3 linked regions of the Macaca fascicularis genome follow. The protein of the gene in region 1 interacts with the protein of each later gene in a pairwise test. Links are inferred from orthologs where the notes say so. Each region holds a gene or a part of one and is shown in the gene's direction. Other genes may lie near its edges.

What was found.
Region 2: the proteins of ERBB3 (region 1) and PPM1B interact in a two-hybrid assay, tested with the Homo sapiens proteins (2 studies listed by BioGRID and IntAct, with this or other methods). The link is inferred for Macaca fascicularis from reciprocal best matches to the Homo sapiens genes ERBB3 and PPM1B.
Region 3: the proteins of ERBB3 (region 1) and HDAC6 interact in a protein complementation assay, tested with the Homo sapiens proteins (2 studies listed by BioGRID and IntAct, with this or other methods). The link is inferred for Macaca fascicularis from reciprocal best matches to the Homo sapiens genes ERBB3 and HDAC6.

What each region holds. Positions count from the first base shown.
Region 1 is NC_088385.1:62,869,424-62,873,074, forward strand, and holds part of ERBB3 (receptor tyrosine-protein kinase erbB-3), read left to right. Parts: intron 1-1,487; coding exon 1,488-1,639; intron 1,640-2,777; coding exon 2,778-2,964; intron 2,965-3,651. UniProt on the Homo sapiens protein: Tyrosine-protein kinase that plays an essential role as cell surface receptor for neuregulins.
Region 2 is NC_088387.1:77,825,537-77,829,187, reverse strand, and holds part of PPM1B (protein phosphatase 1B), read left to right. Parts: intron 1-3,084; coding exon 3,085-3,390; 3' UTR 3,391-3,651.
Region 3 is NC_088395.1:48,977,633-48,981,283, forward strand, and holds part of HDAC6 (protein deacetylase HDAC6), read left to right. Parts: coding exon 1-102; intron 103-682; coding exon 683-751; intron 752-862; coding exon 863-1,055; intron 1,056-2,457; coding exon 2,458-2,607; intron 2,608-3,651.

The sequences.
Region 1 (3,651 bases):
CAGAAAACTTGGCTCCTCCCTTATCTGGGGAGAAGGATTGGCACTATAACTTGGGAAAGGGGGTGTCCTGCCAGGAAGGGGACTGGGGTGGGGCTGTTCCAGAAATGACTAACCTTCCTAGTCTCTTTCATTTCAACCCAAGGACCCTGGAGTTACCAGCTCCTCTGGAACTAGCTCTCTTTGCTGGGACTAGCCAACCTTCATGGGGAGTGATAAGGAGCCCTCCAAGGTCAAGAATTCAGACTAGGGGTATATAAGAGGGATTGGGGCCTCACCAGTCTCCCTCCCTCCATTCCCACTGTTGCCTCCCACTGACTACCACTGCCTCAGGGAAGGGTGGCTGGAACAGGTGGTATCTACCCCCTATTCCCCACCCCACACGTGGTCTTTCGCTGAACCAGAAGAAAGAGACTGGGGTAGGGCTTCAGAGTCCAGGATTTTCCATAGGCCATTGTCCACCACATTTGCAAAGAGTGAACTCCCAAGGCTGACATGCCATGTGCCTCTAGTCTAGGCTTTCCCCTAGTGCGGGTGAGGATTGCCATGGTGAAAGGCTTTTTCATGAACCTCTTCTAACAATGAAATTGGGTGGAGGCTCAGTGTGGGGCATCTCCTACTATTTCTCTCCAGGTGTCCCTGTATTTGCTAAAAAATACTCTAGGGCTGGAAAGTGATGCTGAGGTTGCTAGAGTGTGTTGGGATAGGGAGAGAGAGTGAGAAGGAAAGCCTGAGTTTAGGAACGTGGGGAGGCAACCAGCTTCTTATCTTCCAGCTTTAAACACAAAGCTCCCATTGACCCCCCCCCCACCCCACCACTGCCAGAGCTCCCTCCTCTACTGAGGTCACTTGTCTGAGCCCAAGGCTTGAGGGTGGAGGGGAGTGCTGCTGAGGATGGGGTGTCTAGGGATAGGGTGGGGCAGCCCCCCTCCTGGATAGAATCGCCTCATTGTGGGCTGGACTGTGGCCCCAGGCACTGCCCCCACCCTCTGCCCCCATCCCACCCTCAGTTGACACAATAGGGGCTGTGTACTAGCCCCAAAGAGATATTTATTCCAGGACCTAGAGAGAGGCAGGATGAGGGTAGAGAAGTGAGTGCCCTGCTTGGAGGGGGAGAGGAGGGTAATCAAAGTTTCGGCCCTTTCCTAACTTCTCTTTTCTAGGGAGGGAAACAAATTCACTGTCATCCTTCTCTATTAACCCCTTAGTACCCAGAGTGGTACCCAAAAGAGGCACAGAGGGGTCTCAGGTAGAAAAAGGAAATCTTCACCTTCCCATTCATAGAATGGTAAAGGGATTCTGAGAAGAGAGAAAGCTCTCAGGCCACTACAGCTTCTGCCTATCGCTTGTGGGAGGGTTGGAGGCAAATGCCCTCTGATCCTGTCTAATGTAACTGGAAGAGGGCAACCAAGGGGGTGATCTTGGGGGATGGCAGATGGGCTGTGAATTTGTGTCCAGCCCTCAGCCACTCTTCCCTCTGCTTTGAACAGTGTGTCCTGGGACTCTGAATGGCCTGAGTGTGACCGGCGATGCTGAGAACCAATACCAGACACTGTACAAGCTCTACGAGAGGTGTGAGGTGGTGATGGGGAACCTCGAGATTGTGCTCACGGGACACAATGCTGACCTCTCCTTCCTGCAGGTTAATGTGCACCCTCCTTCCTCAACCTGCTCCTCTTTATTCTCCCCTAGAACCCTCCTTCCCTCTTCAGGGCTACCTTCTGCTGGAGTTCACCCTTCCTAAGACTCAGGAGTTCCTAAGATCCAAACCCGCGTATTTCTGGGGACAGTGGCTGTAATCTGGGACCTATGGTCTCGCTGTTGTAGCCAGGGATATATAGGGGGCAGGGGCAGAGGCAGGGGCGGGGCAGGTGGTGTTCTGTGGTAGTGCGAGGTCAGCAGGGACTAGCGCAGAGAGACACCTGAGGACCGAGAGGGTACCTGGGGAGATGAAGAAAGGGCCCGCCTGGCATGAGGAGCTTTGAGGAGAAAGCTGCCTGTCTTCACTCCCAGAAGTGACATAGTAGTGTGACACAGTCTACTCCCTACTCCAAAATAGGAATTAGCAAGAGTTAAGGAGAGGTGCAGTGGCTCATGCCTGTAATCCCAGCACTTTGAGAGGCCAAGGAAGGCAGATCACTTGAGGTCAGGAGTTCAAGACCAGCCTGGGCAACATGGGGAAACCCTGTCTCTACAAAAATACAAAAATTAGCTGGGCCTGGTGGCACGCACCTGTAGTCAGCTACTTGAGGGCTGAGGTGGGAGGATCGCTTGAGCCCAGGAGTTTTACACTGCAGTGAGCCGAGATTGTGCCACTGGACTCCAGCCTGGGTGACAGAGCGAGACCGTCTCACCAAAAAAAAAGGTCAAGTGCGGTGGCTCATGCCTGTAATCCCAGGACTTTGGGAGGCCGAGGCAGGCGAATCACCTGAGGTCAGAAGTTCGAGACCAGCCTGACCAACATGGAGAAACCCCATCTCTACCAAAAATACAAAATTAGCCAGATGTGGTGGTGCATGCCTGTAATTCCAGCTACTTGGGAGGCTGCGGCAGGATAATTGCTTGAAGCCGGGTGGCGGAGGTTGTGGTGAGCCAGGATCGCGCCATTGCACTCCAGCCTGGGCAACAAGAGCTAAACTCTGTCTCGAATTTTAAAAAAAAGAAAGAAAGAAAGAAGGAAGAATTAAGAGTTAAGAGTCTTTAATGCCTGAAGGAGGAGAGGGGATTGAGATTTTTTTGCCCTGTTGTCTCTCTCATTGACATAATCTGCTCTGTCACAGTGGATTCGAGAAGTGACAGGCTATGTCCTCGTGGCCATGAATGAGTTCTCTACTCTACCATTGCCCAACCTCCGAGTGGTGCGAGGGACCCAGGTCTACGATGGGAAGTTTGCCATCTTCGTCATGTTGAACTATAACACCAACTCCAGCCACGCTCTGCGCCAGCTCCGCTTGACTCAGCTCACCGGTCAGTTCCCGATGGTTCCTTCCGGCCTCACCCCTCAGCCCTCAGACTGGTACCTGCTTGATGATGACCCAAGGCTGTCCACTCTAAGTGCCTTTTCCAAGGTGCCTGTCACCTTGGTAACTGTCTAATGGTCCATTGCTCCCTAAGCAATAGAGGGCCCCCAGTAGGGGGAGCTAGGGGCATCTACTCCAGGGAAAGGAACCATGTGTCCTGGTGGGGCTGGAGTCAGAGCCGGATCTGTTACCATTTCTCTAACTTCAAAGTACAGTGTACTGGAGGCCAGGCGTGATGGCTCACACCTGTAATCCCAGCATTTTGGGAGGCCAAGGAGGGCAGATCACTTGAGATCAGGAGTTTGAGACCAGCCTGGCCAACATGGCGAAACCCTGTCTCTACTAAAAATACAAACAAAACAAAACAAAACAAAATTAGCTGGGGATAGTGGTGTGCACCTGTAATTTCAGCTGCTCAGGAGGCTGAGGCAGGAGACTCGCTTGAACCTGGGAGGCGGAGGTTGCAGTGAGCCGAGATCGCACCACTGCACTCCAGCATAAGTGACAGTGAGACTGCGTCTCAAAAAAAAAAAAAAAAGCCAAAGCACAGTATACCTGGATGTCCCTCCTTCCCTAGGAATTCTACCTTTGCTCTCCTAAACCAAACCCCTATGAGCTGAGGAATATAGGAGTT
Region 2 (3,651 bases), on another chromosome or scaffold:
AGTCCACATAATAAATTTTGCAAATTAAAAGACAGCTAATATGCTTGTTGTGCAAAATTGGAAAATTCAAAGAAAATAAAGTATCTGAACTCCCTGCCCATTATCATTGTATTGCTGTATTTCCTTTCTTTTCAGGTATTTTTACATATGCTAACATGAACAGATACACAGACGTATATGTACCCAAAAAAACATGGGCGATACACAGTATCATCTCTTTTTTTTGGGGAGATGCCTAGACTGGAGTGCAGTGGGTGTGATCTTGGCTCACCGCAACTTCCTCCACCTCCCGAGTTCAAGCGATTCTCCTGCCTCACCCTCCCGAGTGGCTGAGATTATGGGTGCACACACCATGCCTAGCTAATTTTTGTATTTTTAGTAGAGATGGGGTTTCACCATGTTAGCGAGGCTGGTCTCAAACTCCTGACCTCAGGTGATCCACCCACCTCGGCCTCCCAAAGTGCTGTGATTACAGGCATGAGCTACCGTGCCCGGCCCAGTATCATCTCATTTTTTGCCATGAGGACACTTCCCCGCCCCGTTCCCCCCTCCCCACCCCGCCACATGTCTGAGGCAAGAAAACAAGCACTTTGTTGTTGTTGTTGTTGTTGTTGTTGTTGTTGAGATAGTCTCATTCTGTCGCCCAGGCTGGAGTGCAGTGGTGTGATCTTGGCTCACTGCAACCTCCGCCCTCCGAATTCAAGCGATTCTCCTACCTCAGCCTCCCGAGTAGCTGGTATTACAGGAACCTGCCACCGCGTGCTGCTAATTTTTTGTATTTTTAGTAGAGGCAGGGTTTCACTATCTTGGCCAGGCTGGTCTTGAACTCCTGACGTCATGATCCACCCACCTCAGCCTAACAAGCACTCATTTGTTTTTTTGTTCTTTTTTAAGAGGGTCTCACTCTGTCATCCAGACTGGAGTTCAGTGGCATGATCATGGGTCACTGAAGCTTCAACCTCCTCGACTTAGCTCAACCTCTCACCTCAGTTCCCAGAGTAGCTGGGACTATGGGCGTGCTCCTTTTAAACATTTTTTGTAGAGATAGGGTCTCACTGTGTTGCCCAGGCTGGCCTAGAACTCCTGACCTCAAGCAATCCTCCTACCCCTGTCTCCCAAAGTGGTGAAATTGCGGACATGAGTCACTGCTCCTGGCCAATGGGGACAACTTTTTAAAAAATAACATTCATCTGCTCTCATTTTTCTAATAAAACATTGCCATTTATTATGTGGCTTTATTAGTGTTATCTTTGTTCTAAAAGTGTAGTATAGTGTCTCTAAAGAAGGTTAAGAGTTTGTGTCAGATCAACTGCATCAATAACCTATTTTGTATTTTATTTTAAGATGAAAACTTCCAAATGTATTCAAAAAGGGGATATGATATGTTGGAACAGCTGTACATTGTCTATCTAGATTCAACAACTTAACATTTTGCCATAGTTGCTTTGTTTTTCTTTCTGTATCTATTGTTTTTTTTCTTTTTTTGACTGAACCCTTTGAGAGCAAATTGCAGACATCATATTTTACCTGTAAACATTTAAGCATGCAGCTCTTAAGAATGAAGACATGTTTCAACCAGGCGCAGTAGCTCACACCTGTAATCCCACCACTTTGGGAGGCCAAGGCAGGCGAATCACCTGAGGTCGGGAGTTCAAGACCAGCCTGACCAATATGGAGAAACCCCATCTCTACTAAAAATACAAAATTAGCTGGGTGTGGTGGCACCTGCTTGTAATCCCAGCTACTCGGGAGGCTGAGGCAGGAGAATCACTTAAATCTGCAAGGTGGAGGTTGCGGTGAGCCAAGATCACGCCATTGCCCTCCAGCCTGGGCAACAAGAGTGAAACTCCATCTCACAAAAAAAGAATGAAGACTTTTTTCTATATAACCATAATACCATTATTATACCTAAGAAAATTAATTTTTTAAAAATTTATTTGTAATTTTTGTGGGTACATTGTAGGTGTATAAAATAATAAATTTTATAATATCGAATATCAAGTTTAAATTTCCCTAGTTGTCCCCAGAATGACTATTGTAATTGTTATTTTGAATCCCAGTCTAATCAAGTTTATCAGTCAAGCACATTAAACAAGTCTTTAATCATCAAGCCCCTCAGCTGTTTTTTTCCCCTTGACACTGACTTTGAAGAGCCTGAGCCAGTTTTTTATAGTACATTCTGCATTCTGAATTCATATGATTGTTTTCTCATGTTGTGCTATAACTTGATCCTCTATTCACTTTTTCCCTGTAAACTGGGAATTAGCATTATTAGATTCATTCTAAACATTTTTTGGCACGAATACAGGACATGACTGTATAATGCATCATATCAAGAGGCACATAATGTAAGGGTATCTTGATTTTAGTCTGTCAGCTTAACTGTGATCAGCTTGGATGATTAGAGCTTGTTCTGTACAGTATTAAAGTAATTACTATTGTAGAAACCTGTAGATTTTCCAACATTTACTAAAATATGAAAGGATTGAGTAGTTTATTATTCATACTTAAAATACTTTATTTTTATCTAGAGATGTTTTTATCAAAATAAGGGCAAAAAGTAAATACAATTTTTATCCGTGAAAACTCTAAAGTCTTTCAAAGATCTGTTTAAATCTATATAGTTTTATGTTTTGTATTTCCTACTTATCATTTAGCAGAAATGATGAAGAAATTGTTCTGATGGCTTGCTTTTCTGTCCTTTTCCTACTGCTTTAAACATTAATTTTCTTTTGTACTAAATCGTATAGCCAATTATTGTTTTTTTTTTTTAAGGAAGTCAGTTTTAGGAAATGCTTGTGTTGCTGTTGAATTATAAAAGCTGAGTAAATTTCAGATTAAATTTTAAATGACTGTGAAATAAGACATAAACTAGTTAATGGTAATTTGCTTAAAATGACTTGAGATATTATAATTGGAAGTTTTTATTGATACAGGTAAGAATCGATATTTAATAAAATGTTCTCATGCTTAGACTATATTACTTTTCAGTAGAGAAATTAGTATTTTGCTGTAATGTGTTATGAAATACATGTGATATCCTAGTTTGTCTACTGACACTGGGGTCTTGAATCTTAAAAAAAGGCCTCCGAGGAAGCAGAGGAAAGTGGATCACAGGGAAAATTGGTGGAAGCTCTCAGGCAAATGAGAATTAATCATAGGGGAAACTACCGACAACTTCTGGAGGAGATGCTGACTAGTTACAGGCTAGCTAAAGTAGAGGGAGAAGAAAGCCCTGCTGAACCAGCTGCCACAGCTACTTCTTCGAACAGTGATGCTGGAAACCCAGTGACAATGCAGGAAAGCCATACTGAATCAGAAAGTGGTCTTGCTGAATTAGACAGCTCTAATGAAGATGCAGGGACAAAGATGAGTGGTGAAAAAATATGACTTTTCTTTTTGGTAATATTTTTGTGATCTTTGATGGTTTTTAACTTAGGAAGTGTAATGTATGCATTTATATAACCGTTTTGTTATTTGAATCTTGGAAAACTAGTTTTATTATATTCAGATAGCCTTGTTTTTTAAAAAGGCCTTTGCATACACCTTTATGAGATAGTGTAAAATTGACTATTTATATTAATGAAATTATATGTCATTTCACATTGTATGCCAGAAATTAGGATACCAATTATGAATTACAGTCAGTAG
Region 3 (3,651 bases), on another chromosome or scaffold:
AGGACACCACGCGGAGCAGGATGCAGCTTGCGGTTTTTGCTTTTTCAACTCCGTGGCTGTGGCTGCTCGCCATGCCCAGGCTATCAGTGGGCGTGCCCTGCGGTAAGGACTCCCTGGGGACCCCCCAAATCCTGATCCTTGTGGGGACCTGGATGCTCTCCCCAGCCCATTGCTTACTCATCATGCCCCATGGTCCAGCTCCCCAGGACTTCCCCAGAAAGAAGTAAGGGTACAGCCCTTACCCAGAGAAGGACTGAGGATGGAGCCTCTCAGTGCCTATTTAGATAGGACCCCCAGATCATATTACCTGGGTGCTTATAAAACAGGATTCAGGGTCCCACCCCAGCATTTCTGGCCTATAGCAGCTGCCTCGACAGAACCCAGGTCCAGGCTCCTGATGCATACTCCAGAAGACCCAAGAACCAGTCCCCAGCATTAGCTGCCCAAGGCGCAGGGTCCAGTTCCCTAGCAATGACCCAGAAGAGCCCAGGGCCCAGCCCCGAGCACTTGCTCAGGCCTACAGGGCAGCCCTCGGGAACCAGGATCAGACTTTTCTCCTTAACTGATAGGACTAGGGTCCTGCCACTCAGCACTAAATGCCCCTACAGACCCCAGGGGTCTGGCCCAGCCCTCTTCCAGGGGGTGAGTATCCTAGGTTACTGAGGTGCTGTCTTCTCCCCAGGATCCTGATTGTGGATTGGGATGTCCACCATGGTAATGGAACTCAGCACATGTTTGAGGATGACCCCAGGTAAGGGGCTGCAATCAGGGGCCGCAGTGTGATCAGGGAGGTGGGTGAGCACCTCAGGGGTACTGGAGCCCCTAACCAGCCATGGCCCCCTTCCTACCCCCTCCCCGGCAGTGTGCTATATGTGTCCCTGCACCGCTATGATCATGGCACCTTCTTCCCCATGGGGGATGAGGGTGCCAGCAGCCAGATCGGCCGGGCTGCTGGCACAGGCTTCACCGTCAACGTGGCATGGAACGGGCCCCGCATGGGTGACGCTGACTACCTAGCTGCCTGGCATCGCCTGGTGCTTCCCATTGCCTACGAGGTACAGCTCAGGATAGATCGCAGGATGTATGTGACATGCCTGTGCAGGTGGCAGCCTGGACCTGCCTCCTCAGCATGTGTGCGTCTGACTGCCAGGTGGCTGATGATATGAGACAGCCCATGGGTGATTAATGAGGCTACCGGGGCAATTGGTGACTGTGATCACTTTGTGTATTTGCCTGTGCACAGGTGACTATATGACTGCCTTCTCTGTGTGACACTATGTGGGTGACTATCTTGGCTGTGTGTGTGAGGGCCTTCTGACTATGCAGCAGTGGCCCGTGTCCTGGCTGGATCTGTGTTGTGTGTGTGCCATCACAAGTGCTTGAGTATGTGTGTGTGCGACTCTGTGCAGGCATCACCTTTTCTCTGTGTGATGGGTGTGATATTGTATGTCACTAAATGCAACCATCTCTGTGACAGCCTGTGTGGGACCCTCTGGATGTGAAAGGCTGTGTGTTACAGCAGTCACTGTCTGGCTGTCTGCCCTGGCTATTTATGTGTGTGTCTCTGACTGGGAGGTAGCTGCCTTCCCTCTGTGTGAGCTGGGGGGCTAGTGGCTTGCGTATGGCTGACTCTGGGAGGGAGGGCGGGGGTGTGAGCACCACTCTGTCACCCTGGGCGCTGATGTGCATCTTTGGATCTGCACGTGCGCGGGTGGCCAGGACAGCCTTCTGTATGTGTACAACTGTATGTGCAAGTAACCAGCTCTTGTGGACACACCAGAGTGCATGTCACCATTGTTGCTGTGTGGTAATGGCATGTGTATGTGACTCTGCAGGGTGGCTGTGGGTTACTGTCCTCTTTGAGAAACTATGTGTGTGTGTGTGTGTGTGTGTGTGTGTGTACATGACTAGTGCAGATATGTAGTACTGGTCTATATGGGACTGTGTGTGGCAGTACTTGTGGCTCTGTGTGACTATCTTCTCTGTGTGTGGCACTTGCATTGCCATCTTCTGTTATGGAAGTGTGCAAACACCTCTCTTTGACACTATGTATATAAAACCCTATATGTTGTGTATGTGTGTCCCACATTTGACCCTGGGGTGTGTGTGTGTAAGGACATGTCTCTGTCTCTCTGTTTTTCATGTCACTCTCTTGACATCTGAGTCTGTCTCATGTCTCATGACTATGTCTCATGTCCCCATCTGTCCCTTTCTACTGTCTCCAGGTCTCTAAGTCTGCATCTGTTTCTTCTGAGTCTGTATTTCTTTTCTTCCCCTCTTCATTTTCAGTCTCTGCTTCTGCATCTCCCAGTCTGCAGATCCTGTGTCTCCATCTCTCTGACTGGCATCTCCATGTCTTCATTTGTCCTTTTCTCCATGTCTCTGGGTCGCCATCACTTACTATCTACCAAAAGCCCCCACCCTCATGCTTATACATCTCTTCTCTCCCTGCCTCAGTTTAACCCAGAACTGGTGCTGGTCTCAGCTGGCTTTGATGCTGCACGGGGGGACCCGCTGGGGGGCTGCCAGGTGTCACCTGAGGGTTATGCCCACCTCACCCACCTGCTGATGGGCCTTGCCAGTGGCCGCATTATCCTTATTCTAGAGGTAATTCTCTCTTGGTCCCTCTTCCCACAGTGGGAGGGTAGTTTGGAAATGTTGGCACCATCACTCAGGACAGTTTCCTGAAATCTCCTTTGAGTGTCCCTGCCTGGGATTGTTGGCACATACTGGGTAGTAATAAGAATAACAGCAACATTAACAGCCTTAATTGAGTGCTCACTATGTACAGAGCACTCTTCTGAGCACTTCATGTGTCTTATTCATTCAGTTACTTGGCAAGGCAGCCTTATGAGGTAGGGTCAGCTTACCTCATTTTCCTCTCTCAAGGTCAGGGAAACTGAGGCACAAAGAGGTGTGATGACTAGCCTGAGATGGCACATTTACTGATGGCAGAACCAGGACTTGAACCCATGCAGCCTGGCTCCAGGGTTTGTACTTTTTACTCTACCTAAACTGCCTCTAACAAGTTCCTGGGACAAAGGAAATTCACTGACCTTTGTAAATGGCCCAGTATCCCTATGCCCTGTGCCTCAGTTTCCTCATTTTTATGAGGCAGGCTAATCATGGAGGAATATCTGGCATATGGTAAATGCTGAATCTGTTGGATCTGGTTTTTTGTTCTTTTGTTTTTCTTTTTTTTTTTTTTTTTTTTTTGAGGCAGAGTCTCACTCTGTCACCCAGGCTGGACTGCAATGGCACGATCTCAGCTCACTGCAGCCTCCACCTCCTGGGTTCAAGTGATCCTCCTACCTCAGCCTCCTGAATCACTGGGATTACAGGCACCAGCCACCACGCTCGGCTAATTTTTGTAGTTTTAGTAGAGATGGGGTTTCACCATGTCTGCCAGGCTGGTCTTGAGCTCCTGGCCTCAAGAAATCCACCCACCTCAGCCTCCCAGAGTGCTGGAATTACAGGCGTGAGGCACCGCGCCTGGCCCCTGGTTACTGTTATGCATTGTTCAGATATTAATCGGCTCAGCAACCTTCTGTGCTCTTATTCTCTTTTCTTTTCTTTTCTTTTCATTTTTGTTTTTTGTTTTTTTTGAGACGTTGTCTTGCTCTGTTGCCCAGGCTAGAGTGCAGTAGCGCA